Alligator mississippiensis: one gene and its partner. Each later gene encodes a partner of the first gene's protein in a complex. Links are inferred from orthologs where the notes say so. Each region holds a gene or a part of one and is shown in the gene's direction. Other genes may lie near its edges.

What was found.
Region 2: the proteins of DFFB (region 1) and DFFA are in contact, whole or in part, in an NMR structure (PDB 1F2R), measured with the Mus musculus proteins. The link is inferred for Alligator mississippiensis from reciprocal best matches to the Homo sapiens genes DFFB and DFFA. Residues at the interface, in NP_031885.3 of Mus musculus: Cys10, Lys12, Arg14, Ala19, Cys20, Lys21, Phe22, Gly23, Val24, Ala25, Ala26, Arg39; in NP_001020467.1 of Mus musculus: Asp66, Thr68, Ile69, Val70, Asp71, Asp72, Asp74, Tyr75, Trp94, Tyr96, Asp100.

The regions. Positions count from the first base shown.
Region 1 is NC_081836.1:16,294,064-16,301,619, forward strand, and holds the start of DFFB (DNA fragmentation factor subunit beta), read left to right. Parts: upstream 1-4,424; 5' UTR 4,425-4,451; coding exon 4,452-4,565; intron 4,566-4,770; coding exon 4,771-4,897; intron 4,898-5,700; coding exon 5,701-5,889; intron 5,890-6,542; coding exon 6,543-6,622; intron 6,623-6,824; coding exon 6,825-6,995; intron 6,996-7,556. Other genes in the region: CEP104 (centrosomal protein of 104 kDa), read right to left, coding at 1-58, 946-1,084, 2,400-2,573, 3,359-3,471. UniProt on the Homo sapiens protein: Nuclease that induces DNA fragmentation and chromatin condensation during apoptosis. Degrades naked DNA and induces apoptotic morphology.
Region 2 is NC_081836.1:11,399,497-11,406,864, reverse strand, and holds the start of DFFA (DNA fragmentation factor subunit alpha), read left to right. Parts: upstream 1-4,354; 5' UTR 4,355-4,421; coding exon 4,422-4,563; intron 4,564-5,514; coding exon 5,515-5,676; intron 5,677-6,333; coding exon 6,334-6,467; intron 6,468-7,368. Other genes in the region: peroxisomal membrane protein PEX14, read right to left, coding at 1,990-2,025. UniProt on the Homo sapiens protein: Inhibitor of the caspase-activated DNase (DFF40).

The DNA.
Region 1 (7,556 bases):
TATTGTCATTAGTAGAGTCGGCAGGTTCCCCAATTATATTTATTGCTACTAGAGCAACCTAAGATAGAATTAAAAGAAACATGAATACAGAAGGCCATTGGAATTTACCTATTTTATGAAGACCCAAACATTGTACAAAGTTTTGCTGACCCCCCTGGAGTATATTTTTCAAAAAGTAAAAGTTAATATTGAGCTACATAATTCTAATATTTTCATGTTTCCCTAGGTTCCTTAGAGCTTGGAAATTATGCTATTTCTTTAAACTGTATTTTAAAAGACCACATCTTAGGCTGAAATTGAAATGGAAAGCACATGCATGAAATCAGCCTCAGCCACACCTTTTAGATATTATTTTTCTCTCTCAGCCATTCAATCACTGACCAGTGATTGTTTTATGCAGCTGGCCAAAATTATTCACTGTTTAAATATGTATTAGTAACTATCAAGTTTAGAAAGACACCTTCTCAATCTGGATAGAAGTTCATCTATTCTATCTAACAAGAAATATCATATCTTAGTGACTGAAAGATATTTTGTAGTGAACAAAATACCAGCAGAGGAGGTTTTTAAATGCATTTTACCCTCAAAGGGTTTGTTTTGGCTATATTAGCTTGCATCTTAGATATATTTATTCTAGAGAAATGGAGGAACTTCCTATTTTAAAGCATTCAGCAGGAGAACTTTTATACCATCTATGCTTTTGAGGTACAAAGAGCACTTGACTTTGTCCACCAAAGTACAGTTCTTACCATTATATCTAAAATATAATACAAAAATCCTTTATAACCCCATCTTTTTTGTTTTTCTTCTTGCTCCTTGGAAAATTGCTCAGTTGCATTAACCAACTTCCCAATGGAATTTGTACTTTTAATGATTAATGGAGAATTTCTCTATGGCCGTCATACACGGCTAAAATGTTAAAGTAATTACATAAACACCTCTCACCTGCCCATACAAGTTGTACCTATTGACATAATTTTTATGAAAAGTCAGCTTTAGATATTGTCCAACTGCATCCACATACACTGATTTCAGCTCCCGTGCTTTGTACCCAGTCTTCTCATTGTCTGATAGGGATACATAACTGTGGGAGAAAAAACAGATTAACTGTAAAAAGCATGCAAGTTGGCAAGGTATATTTTGATGGGCTGTAAAACTCCCCTGAGAACTAAACCAAAGAACACCAGTTGAAGATGTTGTACCCTTGCCTTTTTGCTTAAAAGCAGCTCTACAAACTAATTTAGTAGCCACTTGAAGTTAGCAGGTGTCTTTTCACTCGCTTCAGTAGGCTTTGGAGTTGAATAAACACAGTAGCTCTGGTCCCAAACTGAGAAAGTGTGTACGTGGATTCTCTGCCCAAGTCTCTACATAAACAGAAGCCACTGAAGAACTGGAACCAATATGTTAAAGAAACATTGTGGCATTAAATATGCCTCAGTATTAAAACAATACTGGACTAGAGAGATGCATCAAACCAATCAACAATCACTGTTCCCCTAGAATTGCAAGGCACCGAAAACTTCCATACATAATGATATTAATGTAGTTATAAACATCAGTTTCAAGCTATTTCAGGAAGGGACCACATTGGTTTTCTGTTTGTGCCTGGGAGAGTCAAAATGATGACAGATGCTTCTAAGAGCTACCACATTACAAAAAAATTACATCTTCCATGTTTCAGGGGTGTTGGTTATAGACATGTTAGTCAAAGCACATAGGCAGACAAGGACCTTGGATAAATATGATGCGATACCAGCTGCATTCTATCACCAGGTCAACATTCCCTCCTTTCCCCTTCTCCCCACACCAACCTACCTGTCCCCACCTATTATCTCCCATCCCTTCTGATCTTTCCTGCCATGCATTTGCATTTTCAGACCTGCATTTTTTATATTGGCTTAGGAGAGCGCACAAACACCAGCAGTCTCTCCCTATGCTGGAAGAAAGGTGTTTGTGCCCAAAAGCTTGCAAATAATAAATGTCCAACTATTTAATGGGTCTAATAAAGGATATCACATTTACCCAAAGAACCTTGTCTGCCACATTACAAAAAAGTATTCAATACGTCTCCCCCGTGAGTCACTGAAAGGAAAAGAATGAGCATGCTTTCTCCACGTGCGTATGAGACGTGCACAGAAGTGTCAGCCAATAAGCCTCCAAAATATCTAAATTTACATTTAATCTAAGCCCACAGAAAAGACTAGACAGCAAAATTCTGTTCTCAAGTACCCACCCACTGTCTTCTACTTTATTACTTTGGGGTTCCACAGGGACATCCTGGGGCAGAATTTCTATTTCACTGTTTGGAAAATATCTCAGCAACATTTCACCCAAGGCTAACATGTACACTCCACTCCTTTCTGGTTCAAAGAACAGAACCAGATTGTCTCTTGACTTACCCTAGCCTTCGAAACCGTTCCGACTGGTAAGGTGCAAAGTATTCAGGAAGGTTTTCACTAATGTAAAACTCAATTTTACTTGAGATCATGTACTGGTGCGCGAGCAGCTGCAGCTTTCGAACACGACATCTCTCCACCATCTGAAGGACAATTTCTTGTGGGTACTGACAGAGTCTAGAAGTGAACAGAACTCGCAGTAGTCATCATGTTAAAGATTTACTGCCATTTTCAATCACATTTTTGTGTTGCAATCATTTAGCTATCACAATTACTTATAAACCTTAAGATTCTAAAGACTACAATACAAAAAAAAAAAAATCTTCTTTTCAGTTGCGTGCGTGTGGTACCTTGCTTGCAGTGCATATATACAGACCCTGCCCTTCTGGCTACATGGACCTTTGCAGGAAACTGAAAAACATTTTAAGAGTTTAAGGACCAGCTTATTGCTTTACTAAAAAATTGGCAGGGTTACTTAGCAACAGATGGATTGCCTGAGAATACTTTTTTTTTTTTTTTAAATTACTGGATTTCAAACTGGTGGTACTTCTGATTGTACAGGGGGTGGGAGCAGTGGGGCTTGTTTTTTGAGGATGAAGATTGAACAGGATGAATAGAAATATGCAACTTGGTTGACAGTTCAAGGAAAATTTATTTCCTGAGCCAGTAAGCTGTTCCGGATAGGAACGTGACTTTGAAAGGGACTCATTTGAGCAAGAGGCTGCTTGAAGCAGTTCACAGAATTGGTACTGAACTTTAAGGAGCTCTTTGTATTTCATCTGAAGTTCAAGAAGTTATGTAAAACCATAATCCTACAATGATGATTAAATAAACCCAAGAAATCAAAATTTAAGACCCGGTTAAAAGAGATTAACTTGTTGACTGCTTTTTTCTCTCATTTGTAAATGAATTGTATTTAATACTTTTTACAAAATATTAAGAGCTTTTATCACTTTTGGTACCTTGGTGATCTCCATCCATTAACTGTTGGTGCATGAACCATCAGCTCCTTTGCACTGAAGCCATCTTCATGTCCTGATGAACTGAGAACTACAAACCCAACCTTGTGTGGCATCCTGCATTCAAAACAGAACGGTAAAAACACTATGTGATCGACACGTAAACAAAACACCACGACAGCAACAATTACAAGACTTGCCGTCTGTACTTGGAGGGAGAGCCGCTTACTTGAATGGCTCTTCTTTAAGAACTGTTGGCACATTCGGATTTAGTTTAAGGACCTATGACATATTTTTTGTATAAATAAATATCAGTAGTTTGGGGGTAACTTTACCAGCCTCCTCTAATAAAGGCAAAGAAACCTGAACATTCAGATGGATTCCTTAAATATTTGTTCAGTGCCAGGATTTCCTCTAAACAGCTTTTTCTGGGCACTTCCTAGGGGCTTCTCAAGCCATTTCCATTAATACAGGGAGCATCAACAAAATGCTTCAGGATTAGTTTTGCAGCAGAATTAAAATACGGCAGAGAGGAGGAAAGGGGGCTGGAAGGGACGGCCAAGAGGAGGCTTTCCTGGAAACCCTCCGGGGTCAGACCCCCACCCACGCACCGCGCCGTCTCAGCGGGCCGGGGCCGGGTGGGGGCAGAGGAGCCGACACCCGTCTCGTTAACGAGCGGCCGGCTCCTCCGCCACAGCCGCGGTCCGCGTCGTCCGGGCCCGTCTCGGGTCGACGCCCAGGTGCAGCACCCACCCGCCCGCTCGGCCCCGGGGCCTGCGGACAGAGCCGCGCTGCTCACCGGGCAGCAGCACCCCCGCCCGCCCAGCCACCCCCGGGCCCACGCCGCGCCGCCGCCGCCGAGGAGACCACCGCGGGCGGGAGGCCCAGCGGCCAGAAAACACCCCGTGGTGAGCGCCCGGCGGGGCCCGTCTCACCTCCACGGCGGCGCCACCCCCGGGCCCCGGCTCTCATGGCAACCAGCCGGCACACCCCGCGCATGCGTACCAGTCCCGGGGCGCATGCGCCGCTCCCCCTCAGCACATCCCGGGCGCGGACGCGCTGCCTGCGCGCATGCGCACTGGGGCCCGGCCGCGCCATGACCCCGCAGGTCCGGCTCGCCAAGGTGCGCGGGCTGCGCGGCGCGCGCAAGTACGGGGTGGCGGCGGCGAGCCTGCGGGAGCTGCTGCGCAAGGGGGCCAAGCTGCTGCAGGTCTGCGCGCCGCCCCGGGGCTTTGCAACAGAAAAATGTCTGTTTCTTGTAATCGGGGAAAGCAAGCGGCGGGGAGGAGCTGGCGTGGTCCGTGACTTGTCTCCCTTTCTTTAGCAACTTGAGCTTTGCAGATTTCCTCTTGCCTGTTGTTTGCTGACCTTCAAGAAACGGAAAACACCCGGGTTTGTTTGCTTTCATTAAACAGCTTCCTGCGCGGGGCTGTCGGGCCTGTCTGTACGAGGACGCGACAGAAGTGACCGAAAGCTACTTCCGCCACATGCCAGATAATACAGACCTTGTATTACTAGCCCCAGGGGAGACCTGGCAAGGGTGTAAGTAGGAACACTTCGGTTTAATTCCAAAGAGGAAGCGAAAGCTTTTGGTGGTTAGCTTATGATTAAGATTCAGCACATCACGTTTTACTCAGTCTACATCCCTGTTGCAACAAAATGATGCACAAAAGCTTCATTAGTTCCCAAAAAGGGATGGCAGAGCTGAAACTGCATCACCGAATACTGCTCGACATGTAGAGGAGTACAGCACTGAACGTAAGCTGGGCACGTATCAACTTAAAAGTACAGTTGGGTGTATTATGCTTAGTTTTCTGCTTCCTTGTATTAAAAACAAAGAAACTGCACTTGCTCATGTCGTTATTAGCGAGGTGTTATTGTTTAAGGAAATGCTGTCGGAAGAGAACAGTGGGAGGATTTCTTCCCCCCTCCTTTTCCATCTGGGCACCTGACTGCCTGCTAAGACCCTGCTCTAATGCCTGGTGAGCCAGATTTCTGATTCCTTTCTTTGCTCACCTGATTTCAGTGACTACTTGCAGAGTAAGGCGTGGCTCACAGGGCAAAGTGCTGTTGAACGTGGCTAGGGGGAAGGTAGAATTTGTCCATAAAGGGAGGTTTCCTTGCCTTCTTGAGAGGAAAAAATCTGGAGTTTTAGCAGTAAATCCCAAAATGTTGTGTTAAATCAGAAACAAATGTTGGAAAAACAGCCTCTTACTAATGACCTGTTTATACAGTTCCCGATTACTTGTTTGAGGGTAGAATACAAAACCCACCACAAAAATACTTTGGACAAGGTGCATTCATCTAAGAGTAACAGAACCTTTTTTCTTCATTCAAAAATCCAGATGTCAGTGATGTTAGCCACTTCCTAAATGCATTTTACAAACGAAAAGATGACATTGTTGAGGCTGCCCAGAAGCTGCTATCTGATAAACAGGCTCCCATGACACAGAAGCTGCTACTGGATCTCATTCATAACTTAAGTGAAAATATTGTGGCAGAAGACAGAGAGGAAGACGAAAAGTGGTTTGATGGTAAATCAATACACCTCCACTAAGAATTTCACACAATGAATTTTATTTTGGATTGCAGTCAAACATGGGCCCTTGACATCTCCACCCCCACAACCAATTTTAATCTTTTTACATTTGCACTTCTTTGTTACTCTCCTAAGGGAATTACTCTTATCCTTGGTGTAGTCTGGTAAATTTTACTCCCCAGAAGGGTACAGTGGTCCAGCCATTATAGGTTAGTGTACATTTATTCACATAACTATGTTTCACATTTTCTGATATATAACTGGTGAATGACCTCCAGTACTATGTTAAGTCTTATTTTAAAATGACCCAACAAAGATCCCTCTCTGCTCCCCACCTGTCTTCCTGCTAAGCACTAAATCCATCAAGGAATTCGCTGCAGTGCTGAGTTATTTCCTCTTACCAGGCTCCCATTCCTTTTCAACCCACACTTTACTTGTAAATATTAAATGTTCTAGGTTGATGTTCTTCCCCCTTTGTATATACTGAGTGATTATATAGGTTAACTAGTCTGGCAGTCCTGGCCCAGAGCAGGCACATTGAAACAGGACAGAAAAAATTCACACACAAGTCATCTGGTTTCCTAAGAAAACAGAGGCAACTGAACATTTTTGTCAACAAGCTGTGATGTATTCTTTTATTCCTTGTAGGTATAGAGCCTCGGTTTAGGAATAAATCGAGTTACATGAGGTACGGTTGTGAAAGCCGCATACGAAGTTACATGAAAGAGGTAAAATGTGCAGTTTATTTTCAAACTAGCTGAAAAAGAGTACTTTATATTAGACCTAGCTAGCCAATAACTTTTTCCATGGGCAGTTGTGGGAACCACCTTATCCAAATACTACACAAAAGTATACTGGATTTAGTAAGCAAGCTCAGAGGGCAATAAGTATCATCTGAGGAATTACTGTTTTTTTTTTCTCCCCAAAAAGGTTAGCAGTTATATTTCAGCTGTTCATCCAACAGCGCAAGCCATATATAAAAGCATCAGTGACCTTATGTTGGACAAACTGAGATCTGTGAAATATAATGGATGTTACTTTGACAGAAGAGAAGAGGCAGCAGCCCGCATTTGCACCTCGGAGGGCTGGTTCTCTTGTCAGGTAAGTTAAAAACAGACACCTGAACAAGCATGTAGGTTATTGGAGTTTATAAACACACTTAAGAAAGTAAGTGTTATTGGGGATTGTGGAGAAAAAGCCTGTAGGTAGCAGCCAAGTATGAAGCTGAAATTAAAAAAGTGACTTATCCACAGTAGCTTATACTGCCAGCCATATTTAGCCACAAGTTCTTCTGTTTTACAGGTGTATTTGAAACTGGCTTTAGTGAAGGACTTGAAGCATCCACGTTTCATAGTAGCAAATTGTGACAAGCTCTCAGTATCAATAACTAGGGCTGGGGGCAAACTAAGTAATTCATTTCCTTGCACCATCATTTTAAAGTTGACTGGTTCTTTTATGAAGTGTTGTGTTGCTGGACCCAGTCAGAACATTAGAGTGCAGCTCTTTTGGTTAACAAAAAAACCCCATTTGGGCTGATGGAAAGCACTGGGTCAGATTGAAAGTATGCTCACTGCATATCAGCATACCAGGGGTGGGGGCAGGGACAGGGCACAGTTTGGTCAACTTTAAAAAGACCATGCTTCTGGCAGAGAAGAGAGCAAG
Region 2 (7,368 bases), about 4.9 Mb from region 1:
TTCTGCTGCCTGAAACCCTTCTCCAGACCTTCACATCTCACATCCTTTTTTACTATTGCAGCTTCCTCCTCTGTGGTTTCCACAGGTACCATCACAGGTAAACCTGCGTGTATAAACAATAGCTCAAGCTCTCCATCTCCTCTGCAGGCTTCCCCATTCACTTCAGGATCCAGTTTAAAATAAAAATTCTCCCCATAGTTTTTAAATACCCTCTTTGGCTTTGCCAGAGCCTGTCTCCTGAGCCTTATGTACCACTACTCCCCTTCACACTTGGTTTGTGAAGACATTTACATTGAACTCCTCACAGAAAAGGCCTTGCACATTGTTGGTGCCCAAGCTTTCTCCACAGCTGCTCCTGTTGCTTCTTATTTTCTTTACCAACGCTCCACCTCATTTCAAATCCCAGCTGAAGCATATTTTCTATTCCTTGTCTCTCATTATCACTGAATTATAGAAAACCAGGGCTAGAAGGAATCTGGAGGTCATCTAACCCAAGCCCCTACACCAGGCAGTATCTCTTGCATCTAAATCAACCTAAACAAGTGTTGTGTAACTGCATCGAAACACTTTCAATGATCTCTTCCACTGCCTCACTAAATGATCTCTTTCACTGCTTAAACACCTTCAGAGTTAGACCATTATTCCTAATATCCAATCTAAATCATCCATGACTTCTTGTCCTGCCCCAGGTGACCACAGAGAATGACTAACGACCATGCTCTTTATAACAGACCTTTTTTGTATCCGAAGATTGTTCTCAAATCCCCCTTGTATCATAGCCTTCTTTCTTTCACTAAACGACCCCAATTCTTCCAACCTTTTGTTATACGTAATATTGTCAAGATATCTAGCCACGCCTGCCGGTCTCCTCTGGACTCTCTTCAACTGGTCCGCGCGTCTCTCAAAGTGCCCGGGGGTGGATAAAGCACCTCACCAGCGCTGACCACTTTTCGTGTCCGGCACAGACGCTCCTGTTCATAGATTCCAGTGTGACAACAGCTCGTTTCCACACTACGACATTGTTCGGTCACATTCAAACCGTGACCCAGTACAGCCAGTTCTCCATTTTTTTTCTGCAATACTGCAACACTGTTAGTCAATCGTCATTTTGCATTTAATTGCTCCTTCCAAAGTGCATTATCTTGCACTATTCCTTATTGAATATTATCCTTTTCATTTCACACTTTCCCCCACCCCCCCAAGTTATCAAGGTCATTTTAAATCCTCAACCTTTCCCTCCAAAGTTTCTTCTGCCCATGAGGCTTGGTCTCGTCCTCCGAGTTAATAAGCGCGCACTCGGCTCTATCATCCAGGTTACTAATTAAAGCACAGAACAGTACGAGACCAGGACGCACGCCTGGCAAAAGACTGGGACAGATGCCAGACCCACTCGACGCTGCCCCCAGTCGGAGACAGAGCCGCAGACGACTCCCACCAGCCTGACGATCCAGTCCGCTGCGCGCATCGACCCTACGGCAGCTCTTATTTCTGTAGCCTCCTCCTTCGCGAGAGGTCCCTGCAACGCTGCTCGCTCACAGGGTCCCTCACACGCTGCTTGCCCCCGTCACGAGGCTGCCATCGCCTTTGACGACCCCACCTTGGCTACGACTCGTCCCCTCGCGCTCTTCGAGGAGCTGGCGAGTCGTGGCACCGGCTCGGGTGGGGAGGGCCCCCAATGGGCACAGTGCTTCGCCTCTCACCCACTTTGGGGGGGGAGGGGTGACTGTTTCCAGCCACCTGAGACCTCACTGGAGCCCGCGATCGCCGCAGGCGAGGCCACTCGGGCCCCCCGAGGCGCTGCTCCTCCAGCAGCCGGGCCACACGCAGCCGCCCCCGCCTCCAGGGGGGTGCCCGGGCCCCACGGCGGGAGGCCCCGCGGCCTACCCCGCTCGCCTCAGGGGCGCCGGGGGAGGAGGCGTCGCACGCGCCCCTGCGGCCTGGGGGACGCGGCCCCGGCGGGGGAGGGGGGAAGACGCCACCGCCGCTTACCTGGCTGGGCGGCTCTGCCTGCTCCGAGGAGGCCATGTTTCCAGACCCGGCTAATCCATCCCCGCCTCGGCCGCTCGGAACACCTCCCGCGCCCCGCCGGCCTCAGGCAGAAGCAGCGGACCGCCCCGCTATCGATCGACCTGAGTCTGCCCATCTCAGACTGAGCCCCAGAGCTGGACGAGGGTCGTTTTCCTGCGAGCGTTAAAGATATCAACGCTAATCAGCATGAAGAGGGCTCCACATGTTTATTAGACCAACTCTAAGAAAAGAGAGGGGTGTAGGTTGTAGCTGTGTTGGTCTAAGGGCATAGGCAGACAAGGGTTTGGGGGTAAATCTGATCTCTTTTATTAGATAGACCAACTCAAATAGTTGGGAACATTTTTCTTTGCAAGCTTTTGGGCATAAATACCCTTTGACAGGGTGAAAAGGCATCTATTTTTTTTTTAATTTAATTTGTATTTGCGGTCAAATTAGCCAAAACTAACTCCAAATCCATCTGCAGTTGGTGTGTGCTCTTCCTGGGCGCAATGAATAGTAAACCACTTTTTATTCCATCCAGGAAGAGCACGCACCAACTGCTGAAACTTCCTCAGCCTGACAAAGGGTTTTTGAGCCCAAAAGCTTGCTTAAAAATTGTTTTCCAACTATTTATGTTGGTCTAATAAAAGATATCAGATTCACCCAAAGAACCTTGCCTGCCTAGTAAAGCAGCCGGCACATTTACCCAAAGACCCTTGTCAACCTAGGCCTTCACATCAATGCTGACGTTGTTCTGGCTGCAGGGTCTTTAAGGCAAGGTTCACTGTCAGTTGTTAATCACTGATGGCTTTGCTCTGGTTGCAGGGTCTTTGAAAGCAAGGTCCACTGTCAGTTATTAATCACTGATGGTTCACACCTATGCATGGTGCATGCTCCATATTTGTTATCTCCCATTATAAACAACATGCATTTCAAACAACTTATGCGCTAAGAACTTGCCTGCACAGTTTAGCTTGCAGGATTAAAGTCGGTCACAATCCCGTAACAATTACTGGTTGCAGCACAGCAACAAATCCTGCCTGCTCCAGTCAGCTGACTTCAGTGGGGCTGTTTTCATGAGTAAAGCAATAGTACTATCAACGGGAACGAGTACAATATCAGGCCCTCGATTAAACTCCGTAAAAAGGATTTAAAAGCCTGTTCCTGCACCACTTAAACCATTGACAAAAGTCTTATTGATTTCAGTGGTGAAGTTTTTGGCTCGCTGTGTATCGCTTCCTTGTTTTTGTTTACACACGACTATTTATTATTCATTATTATTTCATTTGTATAGCTCCCAGAAGTCTGCCATGTGCTAAAAAGCACAAATAATGAGTCAGATTTTGCAAACTCTGCAAGTGTGTAACTTTATTCTTGACTTCACTGGACTACTCAAGTGAGTGTAGATCTTACCTGCATCGTGAGCTCCTTCCTGGCATATTTGGGCTATACTGATGTTTGCAAGAGGTGATTCCTTGCTGTGCAAATATTCTTCTTTGTGTATATTATAGTTCAGAGCAGATGCACTTTTTTATAACTCTATTTATTAATTCATGTGCAAAACACAATGCACTACAAATACATTTCACTATTTTTATGTTTTGTTATGGTAGCACCCTGCTTTATATACATTTGCACTCTTGCCAACAGTCACAACTTAATTGCAGGTACCTCACCCTGTTGGGTTTTTTTCTTAAAGCCTGAAGTCCTGGAGTCAAGTGATTTCAGCTTTCATTAAAAAACCCCCAACCCTGCAGCCATCACCTCACTGCCGTGCATAAAAGGTGGAAAACACCATCAAGCTTACATTAAAGACTCAAAACCCGAAAATCATTTTAAAAAAAGAGCCTAAATGTGTTATTAGCGAGTCTTTGTAACAAATCGCGGGGAGGATGTGACTCATGGCATTTGCATTCTTGATGCTGACAATGCCATGTGTCTGTACTATTCATTTTTATTTATTATTTAGTTGGTGTAACAAAAGATATCATATGTACCCAGAGAACCTCCCTGCCTATGTGTATATATTATTGCATTGTGCCTGTGCATGTTTAGCTGATAAGAACCCCGGCCCTTAGCAGATCAGAGCTGGGCCCTGTCTTGTGAAACTCCAACCCTGACAAAGAAACACCTTGCAGAGCCTGACAGCCGGGGACTAGAAGGTAACTCACTCGTGCTCCTGTCTCTTTAAGGCGGGCGGGCGGGCAAGGGGCGGACGAGCCCGGCGGACTGGGACTACATCTCCCAGGAGGCACCGGGGCAACGGAGAGCGCGGAAGCACCAGCGATGATGCGAGGGGAGGACTCCACGTCCCAGCATACCTCGCGGTGCGGGCCGGCGGGTCCCGGCGTGCACCGCGCTAGGGTAGCGGATGCAGTGCATTGGCCGTTGCCTCAGTTTCAGGCCGGGAGGCCATGGCAGCAGCGGGGCCGCGGGACGGCGGCGGGGAGGGCGGTGCTGCGGTCCCCTCGCGGAAGCAGTGCCTGATCCGGCGGAACCACGAGCGGGAGCAGCACGGGGTGGCGGTGTCCTGCCTCCGGGAGCTGCGCAGTAAGGGTGCGCTGAGGGCGGGGCTTGGTGCCAAGAGTGGGGGGCGGGGCGGGACGGGACCCTGAGGGTGGGTGGCGGGTGCATAGGTGGGAGGAGCCAAGGGTGGGGGCGAGGCAGGGACCCTCTGAGGGGGAGGGGAGAGGTGTAAGTGGGAGGAGCCGAGGGTGGGGGCAGGGCAGGTGTAGTGGGGGAAGTGATGGGGTTGGGGGGGAAGCATGGGGTGCAGCTCCCTTCAACGGAAACCCGCTGCCCAGCAGGGTGTCTTGGCAGCTGGCGCCAGGCTGCATGGGATTGGAAATGTGCCCTTGGGAACTTCCCCCGGGCAGCTGCCCCCCGGGAGCGGGGCTTGAGCGTGTGACCCTTGAGCGCCGCGACGTGCAGCTCCTGGCTGCGCGAGGAGGGTCCGGGCGTGCGTAGCCACCTGGCTCGGGAACGAGGTGGATGTCGGGACCTATTGCCGCGTTCCCTAAGTTCAAGGAGCCTGGCACAACTACACCTCTTGCGTGCCCAGAGGCACCGAGGTGCCAAGTGCTGCACATGCCAGCATCAGCATTTCCAAAATACAGCCCATGTCGTGGTAAAGGTTAAACTCTGTAATTGCATTAAAGATTTCTAAGCTCCATTAGAGAACGAAATTGCTTTGGCTAAATCTACACTAGTTGCTTTGGAGATCCCAGGCTGTGTGTACTTAGCCTTTGCTCTTCTGCCTGATGACTGAGTAGGCTTGGCTCGCGTGTGGAGTTTGTAAGTGTTCAAAACAGTACCTTGATCTCATGTCTCCTTGCTTTGGGCTTTCCTCTCTGGATTGCTGCCTTGTGACGTGTTTATCATAGGCGCTCCATTCCCTCACATGTGTTGACGGGGTCAGACATGTGGTGCTGGACAAGCGATGCCTACTGTAGCTGCCAAGGCTGTCTTGCATCCTTGATTCATAAAAATAAACGATCTCTCCTGCAGCCTGTGACGTTCTAGCCATTGACAAGACGTGGGAACCCATCACTTTAGTACTGGCAGAGGATGGCACCATTGTGGATGATGAAGATTACTTCCTGTGCTTACCGGCTAACACCAAGTTTGTGGCATTGGCCCGAAACGAAAAGTGGTCCAGCAGGAGTCTAGGTACTGAGGGTGATGGTGGTAGCTTGTCTGTGAATGTCCCAGAAATAAAATCATCTGCTTACGTTGGACCGAGGGCTCTTTGCTGGACGCCCATTTTAGAAATGGTTTCTGCATTCCATCTTCTTAGGTGTGAAGAGAGAACCTGTTATGGACAGGTGATATTAATCTTCTGCTACATTAAAAAAAAATCATCTTGTTCATCTACATGAATACACTCATACTGGTAAATGTAGGAAAGGCAGATGACAGCAATGAAGAGGTGGGGAGAAAATATGTGAGCTCTGGAACAAGTCTGCCTTCATGCATCTTGATAGGCACCAAGAAAACAACTGAAAAAAAAAGTTTAAATGTTACATTGCCCTTCTAATCAGTCACACAGATGGGTCAGCCCAAGAGACTACAGCTCATGAATGGCTTCTGAAAGCAGCATTTTAAACACTTCCCATAATTGCAGTGTAGGTTTTGTAGCTAGGATTCCAACTCAAGGGCAAGAAAACATCAATAGCTCATAGACCAGACACTGCTTCCTCTATTATACATAACTGCTATACTCCCAATGGACAGCTCCCCACACGGATCTGTCTGGATTTTGTTGTCACTCTCTTTGCAACCTTGAGTTTCTTAGTCTTGTGATTCTGGTTATGTCTGTCATGTTAGATGGGGGCACAGCCTGGCTCTCAAGAGAATCCATGGATGAAGTGGACACCAGTGAAGACAAGTGGAAACACCTGGCCCGGCAGCTGAAAGATGACTTGTCCAGCATCATTTTGATGTCTGAGGAAGACCTTCAGGTATAATGAGAACTACTACAGAAATCTGCCTACCATCCTTCTCCCCACTCAGTGCCTTTTGGTTTTACTAGTAGTGGGTGAAAATGTAGGAAAGCAAAATCTATCAGCCTGTCCAAATTCAACTGCAGTTGGCTTGCTCTGGTGCTGAAATGAAGTTCAGCTCTGGGGATAACATGCACTTGATTGGTAGTGCAAGCTCCAGATTATTCTGTCCTTCCCCTAGACAGTGCTCTTTCCTGGGACCATTTCTTCTCTTGCTTCATCATCTCTTCTCAGTATCCCTCCCCCTCCACACTTAACACCATCCTCCTCTTTCCTCCTCATCTTTCTGTGGTGATGCAACATCCTTCTTTCTGACTGCTTGCTAAATTCTTAACTCCTTCCCTGCCCTCCAACTTTACTTGTCCTTTTGGTCTGTATTGGCCCTGAAGGTTGTGGCTGTTCCACCCTGGCCATCCCTACTGATGTGGCATGTTCTTTCCTTCCTGATCTCCAGCTGATTGACCTGCCTCAGGCTCCAGTTTGAGGTTTTGACCAGTTTGACCCTGCCTTTTGGCTAGGTCATATGAAAGTCCCACCCCTGCCAGAGTACCCAAAGTCAAGAAAATAAAATCTTCTGCCTTGTTTGGACTTGGTGCTCAATAGACTTGCTAGGACTATTTTTCTGCAGGGAGGCTCTGATGGGGAGCTGTATTATGAGGGCCCCAGTTGCTCTCCCCACAGAAAGAACTAAAGGGCTGCTCAGCCAGCAACTGAAATAGGCTCCCCATCAAAGCATGATGCTTGCTTCTGGTGTCAGACAGTAGGGCAGACTGGATTGGCAGCAGTCTAGTCACTCTTACCTAACCAGTGTCAGTCACAAGAACAAACCACTTATAAGCTAGACCACTCCCTGCCTCTT